2 linked regions of the Caenorhabditis elegans genome follow. The protein of the gene in region 1 interacts with the protein of each later gene in a pairwise test. Each region holds a gene or a part of one and is shown in the gene's direction. Other genes may lie near its edges.

Region 1 (6,906 bases):
TTGTCAAAAATCTATCGATTTCATTTCGAACATTTTTTTATTTGGGAAGTGTTTTTCAGCAAAAAGAAAAATATATGATAAAAACGCCGAAAATCTATGAGAGATAGCCCCAATTAGACCTGAACTCGGTCTTTTGCTGATTTGAAGTGCAAATTTCAAGAAAAAAACTACTCTTCATTTAAAAATTACCTGAATATCACTGTCCACTTGTTTCTTCAGTTGCATCGCTGTTGCCAGTAGTTGAACATTATTCTCTGCTGACGAAATAGCCGTCTCATATTGCCCATTGACACGTTTCAAATTGAAAAGCTTTACATTCCAATAGAACATTTGAACATCATTCAGTTTGACAAGTTCATCATTTGCCGTAAATAACTGACAACCAAGATCAAACTTTCTAATGACAGCGTTAATTGTATTGAATGTCCATGCTTCTGTTACTGTCATTTTGTGAGATCCCATCGTGAATTTTCGTGTGATGTCACGTGGAATATCCGATGGGAACTTGCTCAGTAGTTTCAGCTGGACCATATGGACAGCCACATAACGTTCTTTATTACGTGTCACTGCGGGAAGCTTCAGACCATCTATGGTAACCCAATCCCAAGATGATAGAGAGGAAATTAGATTTTCAGTTCCGTCAGATGTACTACTAGATGTACGAAGACGTTGAGGAGGTGGTGACAGGTTTTTGTTGCTCTGAAATTCAAGAATCTAGCTTTCTAGGTTTCTAGACGCAAAGCTTCAATTTTTCAGTATCGACAAAACATTTTCTATTAAAAAAAAACCTACATCAGTTCTCCTTGTAGAAGTTGAATTATTCATCTGCTGCTCATTTCCAACTGCTCCATTCTGTTTCTCCGGCGTAGAGCAATCAGATTTGATCACTTCAACATCAATTTCAGGACTATGGGCTCTTGGCGTCGCATCAGTGTCCTTTTTCTCAGCACTCTTTAAAGACGAGGTTGTAGTAGTGTCCATAATGTGTAGAAACACAAGCAATGCTCGTCTTCTTCTTCTCTGTCTTCCACTCCCCCATTCATTTTCTGTGTGCATCTGTCTCTCCAGTCTATCGATCCTTACACGGAGCGTGTTCGCCTCTGCGTCTCGCTTGGGCTTCAACTGCTTCTCGGCGTCCCTCTGAATTTTATATGCATTCGACAACGTTTGTGTGTGTGTGAAATCGTCATTCTAGGACAACAATTCGTATTTTCGTTGCATTAGATATTAAAAATTAAAACGGCTGAATTCAAAATGGGTAAGTATTTCTAATTAACTATTTCCCTAGTTTTACTTTACGTTTTTTCATCATTCTAGAAAGTTATCACTGTAGCAATCGACTCCGTTATCAGATACATAGAAATGATAAGATAGCAAACAAAATATTGTTGATTGCACAATTGAATACATTCGAATATTTATTAATCGTTGTATTGAAATCAGTTGGAATGAAAATGTTAAATTTACACTACAAACTACAAGCGATAACATTTTACTGTATATTTAGTGTTCTTAGTTAGTTGCCAAAGTGATATCAAGGGAGATATCATAATTATTTAAGATTGGGTACCTTCATTTAAAGAAACTGAGTAGAGTTCTTTTGGAGTACAGGACCCAAACACCGTTTTTTTTTCATAGATAATTAACTTTTAACTCCTACAAAAAGGTCTGACAGAAATTCCGAAGGTAGGCATGCCTACGTAGGTTAGTTGCAATCTCGCTCTGCTGCACCATGTCGGCAACAAGTTCGTAGTGACGTTTGAATTAATTCTTCTTCGCTCTTTTATTCTACTTATAAATTCTGCAATTGGCCACATATTTGAAAAAAAAAACACCATTTTGAACTCAATTATTTTTCTAACAAATGTCGGTTTAAATTCAAAAAAATATATCAAATTTGATATTTTGACAGTATTTTCTCATAATAATATATTTTCCAGAGAATGAACTTGATGGATAGCGAGAATTCGAGTAGTCATTCGATAAGTTCTCCACAAATGTTTCAAAACACGCACAACAATTCAGCAATGGAGGATAATTTGCTTTCTCGGCCAATGAACAATGAATCACTTCAAATGATTATTGGATACTTACGACGAAATGGTTTAACAGAAACTGAAGAGCTTTTGACTCGAGAAGCTGGACCAGTACTTAGAGTTGAAGGATCTAATGGATTACCTCCAGAGTAAGTTTTTTTTTTCAATTTAAAAATGTATCTAGAAATTAATATTTTAAAAGGTTGGAGCATTGCTAGACTCAAAATGACCCCACAAAATTGTTTTAAATTTCTCAAAAAAAAGCTAACCAGTTGATTAAGATGCTTTTTCAGTAGATGTGCACACAGTAATTTCAAAATAAAATTTTTTCCAAATGTTGTGCATCCATCGACTGAAAAGATCACTTTTACCGAAAAAATCAATTTTGTAATTTTCTGCCGAATATAGACTTTTCCCCTAAACTCAAAACCGGTATTTAAATAAATTTGGGAAATTTACAAGACGTATTAATAATACATTCGGTTTTCGGTATCATTTTAAGTCTAATGAATCTACTCAAATTTCGCCACTTCATCTTAGAAATAATTTTTTTTAATAGCAAAATAGACAAAATTTGAATTTTTCAAAGCCCAATGTCTTAAAAACCAAAAGTTTCAGAGAAGCGATATCCGTTGAATTCGACACATTTGTCCAGCACGCAAACGATTGTACAGATGTTGTTCAAGCGGAATTCAGTCAACTTTTATTTCCTATATTTGCACACAGCTATATAGCTTTAATTGAAAAGCATGCCGCAACTGCCCGTATATTCTTCAATCGATTCAAGATTTTCATTCCTGAATGTTTCTCGGAATTTGTATATCAATTATCACTAATCGAAGATGCAATGACGTTACGAGCCAATGAACATGTTCACATTTTACGAGAAAATAAATTTCTTGTTCGACTTTCGAGGCCAACACTGAAACATCTTGAATCAATTCAAACGAGAGTGATTGGTGTTAAGAATATAATTGCAAAACATATTTGTATTGAAAGTAAGTATTCATTTTTATATACAAAAAAAATATAATAATATCCGTTAAAGATGCTGACGAAGTATCCACAAATCGAACGACAATAGAAACCCAAATGGGTGGAATTCTTGGAGTAACTTCGAAAAGTGATAAAAGACATAAAATGATGTTTTCGGTGTTAAAAGACGAATTGATGCAGAATATTGAAAAACGGAAGACAAAAGGAAAAGATTGGAAAGATATGGGAAAGAAAATGCAGACGGTAAGATTTTTAAACAATTTTTTTGAATTTTTTTGTACTGACAAGGAAAGATTTTCATCTTACCCTGAAATTTTAAAAATGTTTATCAAATTTTGTTTATGTTAATGAAAAAAAACATAAGAACATATATAATTGTTTTCTAAAAAAGAGAAAAAAATTGTCAATATTTTAAGCTAATTTTCAAAAAATCAAAAACAAAATCATTAGATTTTTCGATTTCCCAAAAACCGAAAAACGTAATATTTTCGTTATTGTTTTTTGTGAAAAATCGAAAAATGAACACCTTTGCTGATAACATATCGCTGTAACATTTTAATCGGCATGTTATGTTGAAAAATCTAATTTTAAAACAGTTGATTTTTTTCTGAATAAATTTCCAAAAATAATGTTTGGCTACACCTAAACTCTTTTGAAGTCTTCAAAAATATTCAAAAGTATCTTTTGGAGCAACTCTAATGGCCTGAAAATAATGCAAAAATACACTGAAAAATACAGTCAAAATTTAAATGGTTGAGGGTGTAGCTGTGACGATTAAAATTTTTTAGTGTGTTTTTTGAGTCCCTCTCCCTTTGTTCTGTAATTTTCATAGTTCTTTGTATATATCTTGTTATTTCCAGCATTGCCCACAAGCTGACCGAATTCCTCTTCCACCAATCAGCGAACATCTTCGAGAGGAACGACGAAATTGGCTTCGAGACGTCGGAAAAATGGCCATCATTTCAGCTGAATCACCCGTTTCCATTTGTATGTACACAACAGTAAATGCACCAATTGGAGTGGCTTCATGTGATTTTACGGATGATTCAAGTCTTATTGCAATGGGTTTATCTGATTCTTCAATTGTTATGAATGCAATGGATCCGATGAATAAGATGAAGAAGCTTCGTGATATGGAATTTCTTGATAAAATCGATATTGAAACTGCGGATAACGTGCAATCACAAATGTTTGATTTACAAGGATCAACGACAAGTGTGAGGTATACAGGCCACGGTGGTCCCGTGTTTTCTGTCAATTTTTCACCGGATCGACGACTTCTTATATCATCTGCCGGAGATCGAACAGTTCGACTTTGGAGTATGGAGACTCAGAGGAATGCTGTTATTTATAGAACACCAGCAGTAGTTTGGCAGGTTTGTATTTATATAATTTTAACTAGCATTTTAACTGAGATATTTAGTGTCGTTGGTAATCTTATTTCAAATAATAGATCATTATCCGAAATTATCGAATTTAACTAATAAAAAAACTGTCTCATAAAGTTTCAGCGCAACGTTCTACATTATCTAATCTGAAAACTATTACAGGCTCAATTCTGTAGTCGTGGATACTATTTCGCTACAGCAAGTGCCGATAAAACAGCTGCAATGTGGTCGACAGATCGAATGCATCCACTTAGAATATTCGCTGATCCATATGGAGACGTTGGATGTATTGATTATCATCCAAATTGTAATTATATTGCTGGAGGATCAGATGATAGATATGTTCGAGTATGGGATGTTTGTTCTGGTACTCGAGTTCGCATTTTTAGTGGTCATAAAGCTTCGATTATCGCTGTCAAGTTCTCCCCATGTGGTCGGTATATCGTCTCGTTAGATGCTATTGGAAATCTGATGATTTGGGATTTGGCATACCAGAGATTAGTTGCAGCTGAAATTACGGAACAAGCTGGAACGAAGGTAGTGAAATATAAAAATGATAATATCATATTACTAGTTCATTTCAGGGTTCAATTACATTCTCTCGTGATGGTGGTGTATTTGCGGTATCCCATGGAAATTCAAGTATTCAATTATATTCACTTGATACTCTTATTGGAACAGTTCTCGCCGCTGGACAAAATGATTCCTACATTGAGCCAAAGTAAGTTTTAATTAGGAACAAAATACTTGGAGAAATATACAGGTACAAATATTATGAAAACGCAGAAAAATCCCCTTACGAGAAAGAAGAAAGTATAAATTTTATTCATCAAATTAGCCATAACATTTTTTTAAACCACTTAAAAACAGGACAAATGCTTGAAGATCGGAGAAATCGGCAATACTAAAAACTTTCGAATTTACGGTTTTGTCGCCAAATACCTAATGAGACCTATGGCTTGGGGGCGGGGCGTATTTATTCGGCAGTGGAGCGCGTTTCCACTTCAGAATGTCTTTTCTAAGTCCTCATAATATATAGTTTCTCGAAAACTCCTACAAGCTTTTTTCAATCAATTTTTACAAAATTTCAGAGTGAATCTGGACGGTTTCAATATAGGATCATATGCAACAAAAGAAACTGCAGTAATCGGACTCCATTTCACTCGTCGAAATCTTCTTCTTGGATTTGGTTGCTTCGGGCAATAACTGTCATCTTGCCTGCTATTATTTGAACATTTTATCTTTAAAATACATTATCTCAAAATCTGGTCTTTAACGTGATCCTCTCATTCATATTAAATCTCTTTTTCACTGGTGGAATAAAACCTTTTAACAAATTTTAAATTTATTTTAAAATCCCTTTGGCTTTATTTTGGAATTATGTGTTCATTCCGACACTGCAAATATTTTATTACATTTTTTTCTCTTTTTTAAAAATAAGGTTATTTTATTTTCAGATGACGTCGTTCGTCGAAGGGTTGACCAGCCCTGAAATGGAAATTGCTGAGGGCGGAGTCATCTTGGATAATAGGACGTAGGTTTTTTTGTTAACTTAAGACTAATAAAAATACTTATTTTTTAAAAAATTTCAACAGTTACATTTTAGGTATAACTGTACGTAACATTTTTCGAATATATCTACTTTCAGACGATTCGCTGACCTAAAAGCCATGCTGGATAGTAATAAAGATAACCTAAAAGTTGATGCAATGAAACGAATAATTAACGTGAGATTTTATTTCCAATAAATTATAATTATCTAAACTTGAAATTTCAGCTGATAGCGAAAGGAAAAGATGTCAGTGAACTATTTGCTGCAGTTGTGAAGAACGTAGCAGCAAAAAATGTGGAGCTGAAAAAGTTGGTATTTGTTTATCTTGTACGATATGCCGAAGAACAACAAGATCTTGCACTTCTCTCGATATCAACTTTCCAACGGGCTCTCAAAGATCCGAATCAACTGATTCGTGGAAGTGCTCTCCGAGTTTTAACATCAATCCGTGTTCCGATGGTCGCACCAATCATGCTTTTAGCCATCAAAGATGCAGTACGTGATATGAGTCCATACGTGAGGAAAGTTGCTGCACATGCCATACCAAAACTATACTCACTGGAACCTGAACTCGAACCTCAGCTTGTCGATTGCATAGATTTTCTTCTCGCTGATCGAAGAAGTTTAGTACTCGGTAGTGCTGTTTACGCATTTGATGAGATCTGTCCACACCGACTCGATCTTCTTCATAAACACTTCAGAGCATTATGTCGTGGTTTGGCAGATGTCGACGAATGGGGTCAAATTGTGATGATCAACATGTTGACTAGATATGCAAGACATGAATTGGCGGATCCAGATAGAGGACCACCCGATACGGATGTTGTACTTCTTCTCAACTCAGCTCGTCCTCTACTTCAATCAAGAAATTGTTCAGTTGTCATGGCAGTCGTACAATTATTTTATCATGTTGCGCCGAAAGCTCAACTCTCTC
Region 2 (6,015 bases), on another chromosome or scaffold:
CCCAACCTTGAATCATCCACACTGATTCCGCCTGTTCCACCATCAACCTGTTGTATCCCAGTTCCTGGTTGTGGATCATGTTATGACCAATAACAATTTGTGCAATCGTCCAATGACTGAGCATTTGAAACGCATAGGTGGCCTTCACTCGCATCTTCAAAAGAGTTGAGCAATGATTCCTTCTTCTTTTCGACTTCAATCCAGAAGCCGCTCCTGTCCACCTTGACTGCAACTGCAGAGAGCACGGCAGGTGCCTCTTCCCAAAGCTGACCTGATCCACCTCAGAGGTCTTTTCTTCCCAGTAGACATGTGTAGATCAAAACAATACCTCAGAGGTCTTTTCTTCTAAGTAGACATGTGCATGAAGCCAGTGGTGCAGTGAGCCCGAAAGATCCTGATCGCCAATGTTATATATTCAATTGTATTAATAATAGAAGAAGCTTTATTAGAAAGCAGAAGAGTATGATAGAATAGTGAGGAATAGTGAGGAATGATCGAATATGATAGATTCGATCAAGGAATGTACATGTGGATAATACGTGAAATAATAATAAGCGAGTTCGAGAGTTCACGTGCTTCTTATTGTCGAGTTGTTATCGCCAAGTAGTGCGAACACGTTCACGTCTCGCCGTAACAATTTTAATATATTAGGTGTGAGAAAGGTGCGTATTGTATCTGTTTTGGGTGCCTCGATGTGGTCAAAATTAAGACCAAATACGACATTTTTTCTCGTGCTTCAGGCTACCGATACAAACTATTTGGACTATGGTCAAAATACAGTTTAATTCTATAGTTTAGGTTTTAAAAATAATCCATATAAAATGATTGAACATACCTTATAGTTCCGATTTTTCTAGCGCCATCATTTTTATCACGATTGTCTAATTAGCCTTAGAAAAACGGTTCAACCTATGTTTCTCTAATGAATCACTTTTTGATAAAACCAAAGAAAATCAAATAATGAACGGTCATTGTGGAGGAATATAGTAGTAAGGGAATTGAATTGTATGAGAAAACCTATTCTACGTCCTCAAAGACCTTTGTACCTAAAAAGGTAACAAAAAGCATTTTTCGGGGATTATCTATTGGAAAAAAATCATTTTTGTTTCTAGTACCACCACCTACCGCATTTTCTCTCTTACTATTAGTATGGGTTCTATTTTTAAAGTTTGTATCTCAGTTGTCGTGGGTTCAAATTTTTAAGTTGTCTATTGACAAAATATTTTAAAGTTCTTTTTCTATCGATTTGTAGTTAATTAATTTTTGGAAATCTTCAAAATGCACCGAGATATAACCAATCAGTAGTCGGGTGCAATATTAGTAGAGGTAATACGGAATTTTTGATTGTTTGGAATACAACTAGAGCCTTGGAGACATATGAACTCTTCCAAAATAAAACTTTAACAATCATTTTTCTAACTCTTTTTTAGAAAGGTAGTACTTGAAAATCACTGATCTAAATCAAAATCGCATTGGAACTACACTATGTCACGCTTTTTTCATCAATTCATCACATTTTCTCACTACAGTCTCATCCTCATCCTCGTCTTCTTCTTATTTCTTCTCTTTTCTTCACCGATTCTATCACTATTTTATCCATTTTGGAAAGATTTGACATGTTTGTTTAAACTTTTCACCCACTCCATTCTTTGTTCATTTCCACGCTGTTCAGTCGTTTTTTTAATGAGTCACCAAAGTTTCATACTCGGTCAGAACTCACTTCTCCGTAACATAAAGTCTAGTCATTCTCACTTTTTCTATATCCAAATCTTCATCATTATATGATAGTTGTCACCTCTTTTCTTTGAGCAATCTACGTCAATATCACCTCACAAATGAGCCCCCGTGCCTCCGAGGAATTCGCCATGGAAACGGGCGGCTCGTTTTGTAAGATTACTTGTTGGGAGAGAGACAACTCAAAACGGGTGCGACTACAACCTACATAGCTTTAATTTTTTCTTCATTTTGAAGAAACCATTTTGTCACGTGCTTCATATAAATTAAGATCAAAATTATTCTTTTATTTCACATCACTAGTTTCTTCACAATTTTTATATGTCTGTTCCAATTTTGTCTAAAACTTTTGAAGTAAGCAAAACATATTTTTGATTTCAGTGTAAATGAATGAACGAGGGATGCTAGTGGATCCGAGATTTGACGCATTCTTTAAATTGGAACAAATAGACGACTACAAATATGATGGAGGTAAGCGCTGAACACCTTACCAACTTTTGATAGTTCACATCTCAACTGACTTTGGTTTTATTAAAAAATCACCAACTGAAAAATTATTGTTGCTTATTTTTGTATATTGAACTGAGATGTTGACAGACTTCTTTCAAAATAAAAAAAATTGGCTACAGTAATCGTCACAAATTTAAATCAAGTTTAAAAATTTCAAACCTTGAACATTTTCAGCTGACACTTCTCCATCAACGTCCAACGGTCTGCCAGAAACCTCAAACGGGGGTCGCTTGATTTGTGATGTTTGTGGTGACGTGGCGTTCGGAAAACATTATGGGATTAATGCTTGTAATGGGTGTAAAGGTTTTTTCAGACGAAGGTATTAATGAATCGAACAAATTTAATTTTAAAATTTACTGTTTCAGTGTGTGGTCAAGGAGGCAATATTCTTGTCGTTTTGGAGGAGATTGCCCGGTTGTAAAGGAACATCGAAATGTCTGTAGATCTTGTCGATTGAAGAAATGTTTTGAAGTTGGAATGAATCCGGATTGTAAGTTTTAATTTTTAATAACTTCACATTCAACCCGGAGCCCTGTGTTTTCTCTTTTCATTTATCCTCGTATTTTCGGAGACGTTAAGGTTGTACATACAAAAGTTCTGATTAACAACTTGGAAACTCACAATCCCAATATCGTCTATTTTTACAGCTGTACAAAATGAACGTGATCGTAATGCTAAAAATGGAGGGATGGGTGGACCAATGTCATCTCCAACTCAGTCTTCTTTATGCAAAGAATTGACAATTTCTAATGGACAGATTAAACGAAAGAGACTGAGACCGGAAACCGTAGAAAAAACGACTCAGGTAACGATTTTTGACATTTAGAGTTTCTAGAAAACTATAAAAAAATTGAGTAATCGTTTCAATTCTAATTTTCTAATTTTTTCAAACTTTCAAATTTTCAGACTGATGGAAAACTTGAAATAAACGATGATTTTGATTTTGAAAACATGCAACAAAACCCAACCCCTCCAGGATTATTGCCTCTTAAAATTGAAAGAATCTCAACACCTCCATCCGATTTGCCTGTTCCTATGGACTTTTCAATTCATTCTGCAGTTCTTGACATTGAGCAAAAAGTATTTTATAATTGTCCGGTGGCTGTTGATAATTCAATTAATGCAACAAAAACTCCAATCACTTTGCCATTTGAGGTTTGTTTTATAAAGATTTAGAGTGTCTGATCCAAACTAGGAATTTTAGGTCGTATTCCGTCAACCTCATCTTGTATGTAACCGTTATCCAATGCGATTCTCGAATACTCGAGTATTAACTCCAGAAGATCTTATTGACGGATGGCGTCGTCATTTCACTTATTATTCTGATTGGTGTCATGCAATGGATGAATTCAAGGCATTGTCTCCTGAAGATCAGATTGTTTTGGCAAAGAAAAAGATTATACTTCATGGATGGCTTGTTCATGCTTACTACTCATACAAGAGTGGTTGCAATGGAATTTGTTTTGCAAATGGAGCCGCCCATCTTCCTGAAGGAGGTCATCCAAGGTAAGTAAAACTGATTCGAGAATCTAGAAAAAAATCTTTAAAAAAACCAAAATATGAACGGAGTATATCCTTTATTTTAATTGGAATTGACAATATTCCTTTTTCATTTTTGTTTTATTTTCCGTACTCGGCATTTTATCTACTGTATTTCCAGTATCACGGAATTCTACAAAGAATGCATGCCTCGTTATCTGAACTATGTCATTTATCCAATGCATAATTTCCAAATGGATGATGCTGAAATGGTACTTATCAAATGTATCATGTTCTTTTCGAGTGGTAGGTTACTGTAGAATACTTTTTGTAAATTCATTATTTCAATGAAAACAATATTTCAGAATCCGGACTAAGTGCTGCTGGACGGCAAATCGTTTCGGCGGCTCGTGAAAAATATTTATCAGCTTTATATAATTATGGGCGTGCAAATAAATGTACCACATCAGCTCAGGCAACTCTTCGAATCGCGAAATTTATGATTATGCTTTCCGCAATTACGGTATGTTTTTAGAACACATATTATTCGATTTTTTGCCAAATTACGGCACCGGGTCTCGACGCGACAATATTTTGTTTAATAGAAATAGGTGTACGCCTTTAAAGAGTACTGTAATTTCAAACTTCCGTCGCTGCAGAATTTTCTTCAGTTTTTAATAGTTCTTACACAATTTTTTTAATGTTAAAAAATGCCAAAATAAAAATCTTCTTAACCGAAAACTATGAAAAATCGGAAATAATCCACATCAACGAAAATTTCAAATTACAGTACTCTTTAAAGACGCACACCCATTTGTATTTTACAAAAAAAACGTGTCGAGACCTTTTTTGTCGCATGACTCATAATATTTTGAATTTTCAGAGTTTGACACATTTAATGAATGAAGGAGTTCATGTGACGTCACTTTTCAATATAATTGAATTTGACGAACTAATCCAAGCAACTCATAAGACGACTCCACCTCAACATTCTCCTCCAGCTCCAATGGGTTAATGTGTTAATTTCGGTTTTTGGATTCTACCTCTTTGATCTCGTTTCATATCAGAACTTGACTGTTTCATTATTTGAATGGATTATTTCTTGAAACATCCGTATATATCTTATTGAACATTTTGACGCTGTGATATCCTGTACCATAGATAAATATGTATATAATCGTTGTGTATTGCAAAAGAAAATAAATTCCTTTTTTTTAACTTATAAATAATTAAACAACAATTGAACAAGATAAATAATGAGAATTCAAACAGCCTTTTTAACAAATTCGACACTTTTCGATGGATCCGTTGGAAAATATTCTTGCATTTTGGTCATCAGTCGTTTGAACGCCTATAATGTTTAAAAGTTGAGATTTTCAAAAGAATATGGAAATTCTAACCTGAATGTACTTTCTCTGAGTTTCATCATTCAGTACGTGAGCAATATTACTGACATATGATTTTGCAGATCCAGGACGTTGATGAATACCAGAACGAGTTACTCCAACTGGCCAAGGTGCATTTCCGATGGCCATTTCCATATAGGCATTATTTGCTTCCAAATAATTTCTATCAATTACTAGCAATCTGAAATATATATTAAACAACCGAAAATAAAGAAAATTTAAGAATTTTTTCATACACATTGCAGTTTAATTTTTGATTTTTTTTTGGTATAGTATTTGAATTTCTGAAAATCTCAAAAATTCGATAAACAGAGAAAGGTTTTAGTGAAAAAATAAATGTTTTAAATATATGATTATACTTTTATTATTCAAACGCGGAATTTCGAAAAAAATTTTTTAAATGTCTCTAATTTTGAATACCTATGTACCTATTAAATTTTTACGAGTTCTTTCCATCAAATTTCATGCCAATTTACCGAGTTTTCTCTTTTCGTGTAAGTTTTTTTTTTTTGAAAAATGGTTTTTTCGTGTCAATTGAATATTTTATTTTCTCAAAATTCGCAGATCCGCTTATTTTCACATCACAATTGGACAGAAATCCAACTCTGGAATTTTCATGATAATAAAATGCTTAATTGGCACGGAATCAAATTTGGAGCCATTTTAAAACTCCATATTTAAATTAGTTTTTTTTTTGCTCAGCTACATTTGAAAACCCCGGAAATTTCCAATTACAAGATAATTTTCGCATTTTGAATAAAATTAGTTTATTTTTTAAGTGAATTTCGATGAAAATTATAATGTTGAATCAAAAAATAACCTACTAACCTACAAATCTTGGCCAAATGATGCCGAATATCATTATTACAGTTGTATCTTTCCATTG

Evidence for each region.
Region 2: the proteins of taf-5 (region 1) and nhr-4 interact in a two-hybrid assay, tested with the Caenorhabditis elegans proteins (one large-scale study listed by BioGRID).

The regions. Positions count from the first base shown.
Region 1 is NC_003279.8:7,847,873-7,854,778, forward strand, and holds taf-5 (Transcription initiation factor TFIID subunit 5), read left to right. Parts: upstream 1-1,940; 5' UTR 1,941-1,952; coding exon 1,953-2,185; intron 2,186-2,654; coding exon 2,655-3,034; intron 3,035-3,084; coding exon 3,085-3,275; intron 3,276-3,892; coding exon 3,893-4,408; intron 4,409-4,582; coding exon 4,583-4,957; intron 4,958-5,004; coding exon 5,005-5,141; intron 5,142-5,511; coding exon 5,512-5,626; 3' UTR 5,627-5,764; downstream 5,765-6,906. Other genes in the region: F30F8.5 (MATH domain-containing protein), read right to left, coding at 190-699, 793-981; apb-3 (AP-3 complex subunit beta), read left to right, coding at 5,878-5,954, 6,069-6,147, 6,198-6,906. UniProt on the Caenorhabditis elegans protein: The TFIID basal transcription factor complex plays a major role in the initiation of RNA polymerase II (Pol II)-dependent transcription.
Region 2 is NC_003282.8:9,877,214-9,883,228, forward strand, and holds nhr-4 (Nuclear hormone receptor family member nhr-4), read left to right. Parts: upstream 1-2,115; 5' UTR 2,116-2,120; coding exon 2,121-2,205; intron 2,206-2,418; coding exon 2,419-2,563; intron 2,564-2,609; coding exon 2,610-2,734; intron 2,735-2,891; coding exon 2,892-3,049; intron 3,050-3,150; coding exon 3,151-3,399; intron 3,400-3,448; coding exon 3,449-3,750; intron 3,751-3,904; coding exon 3,905-4,029; intron 4,030-4,088; coding exon 4,089-4,246; intron 4,247-4,606; coding exon 4,607-4,738; 3' UTR 4,739-4,939; downstream 4,940-6,015. Other genes in the region: prp-18 (Pre-mRNA-splicing factor 18), read right to left, coding at 4,988-5,074, 5,124-5,310, 5,958-6,015. UniProt on the Caenorhabditis elegans protein: Orphan nuclear receptor.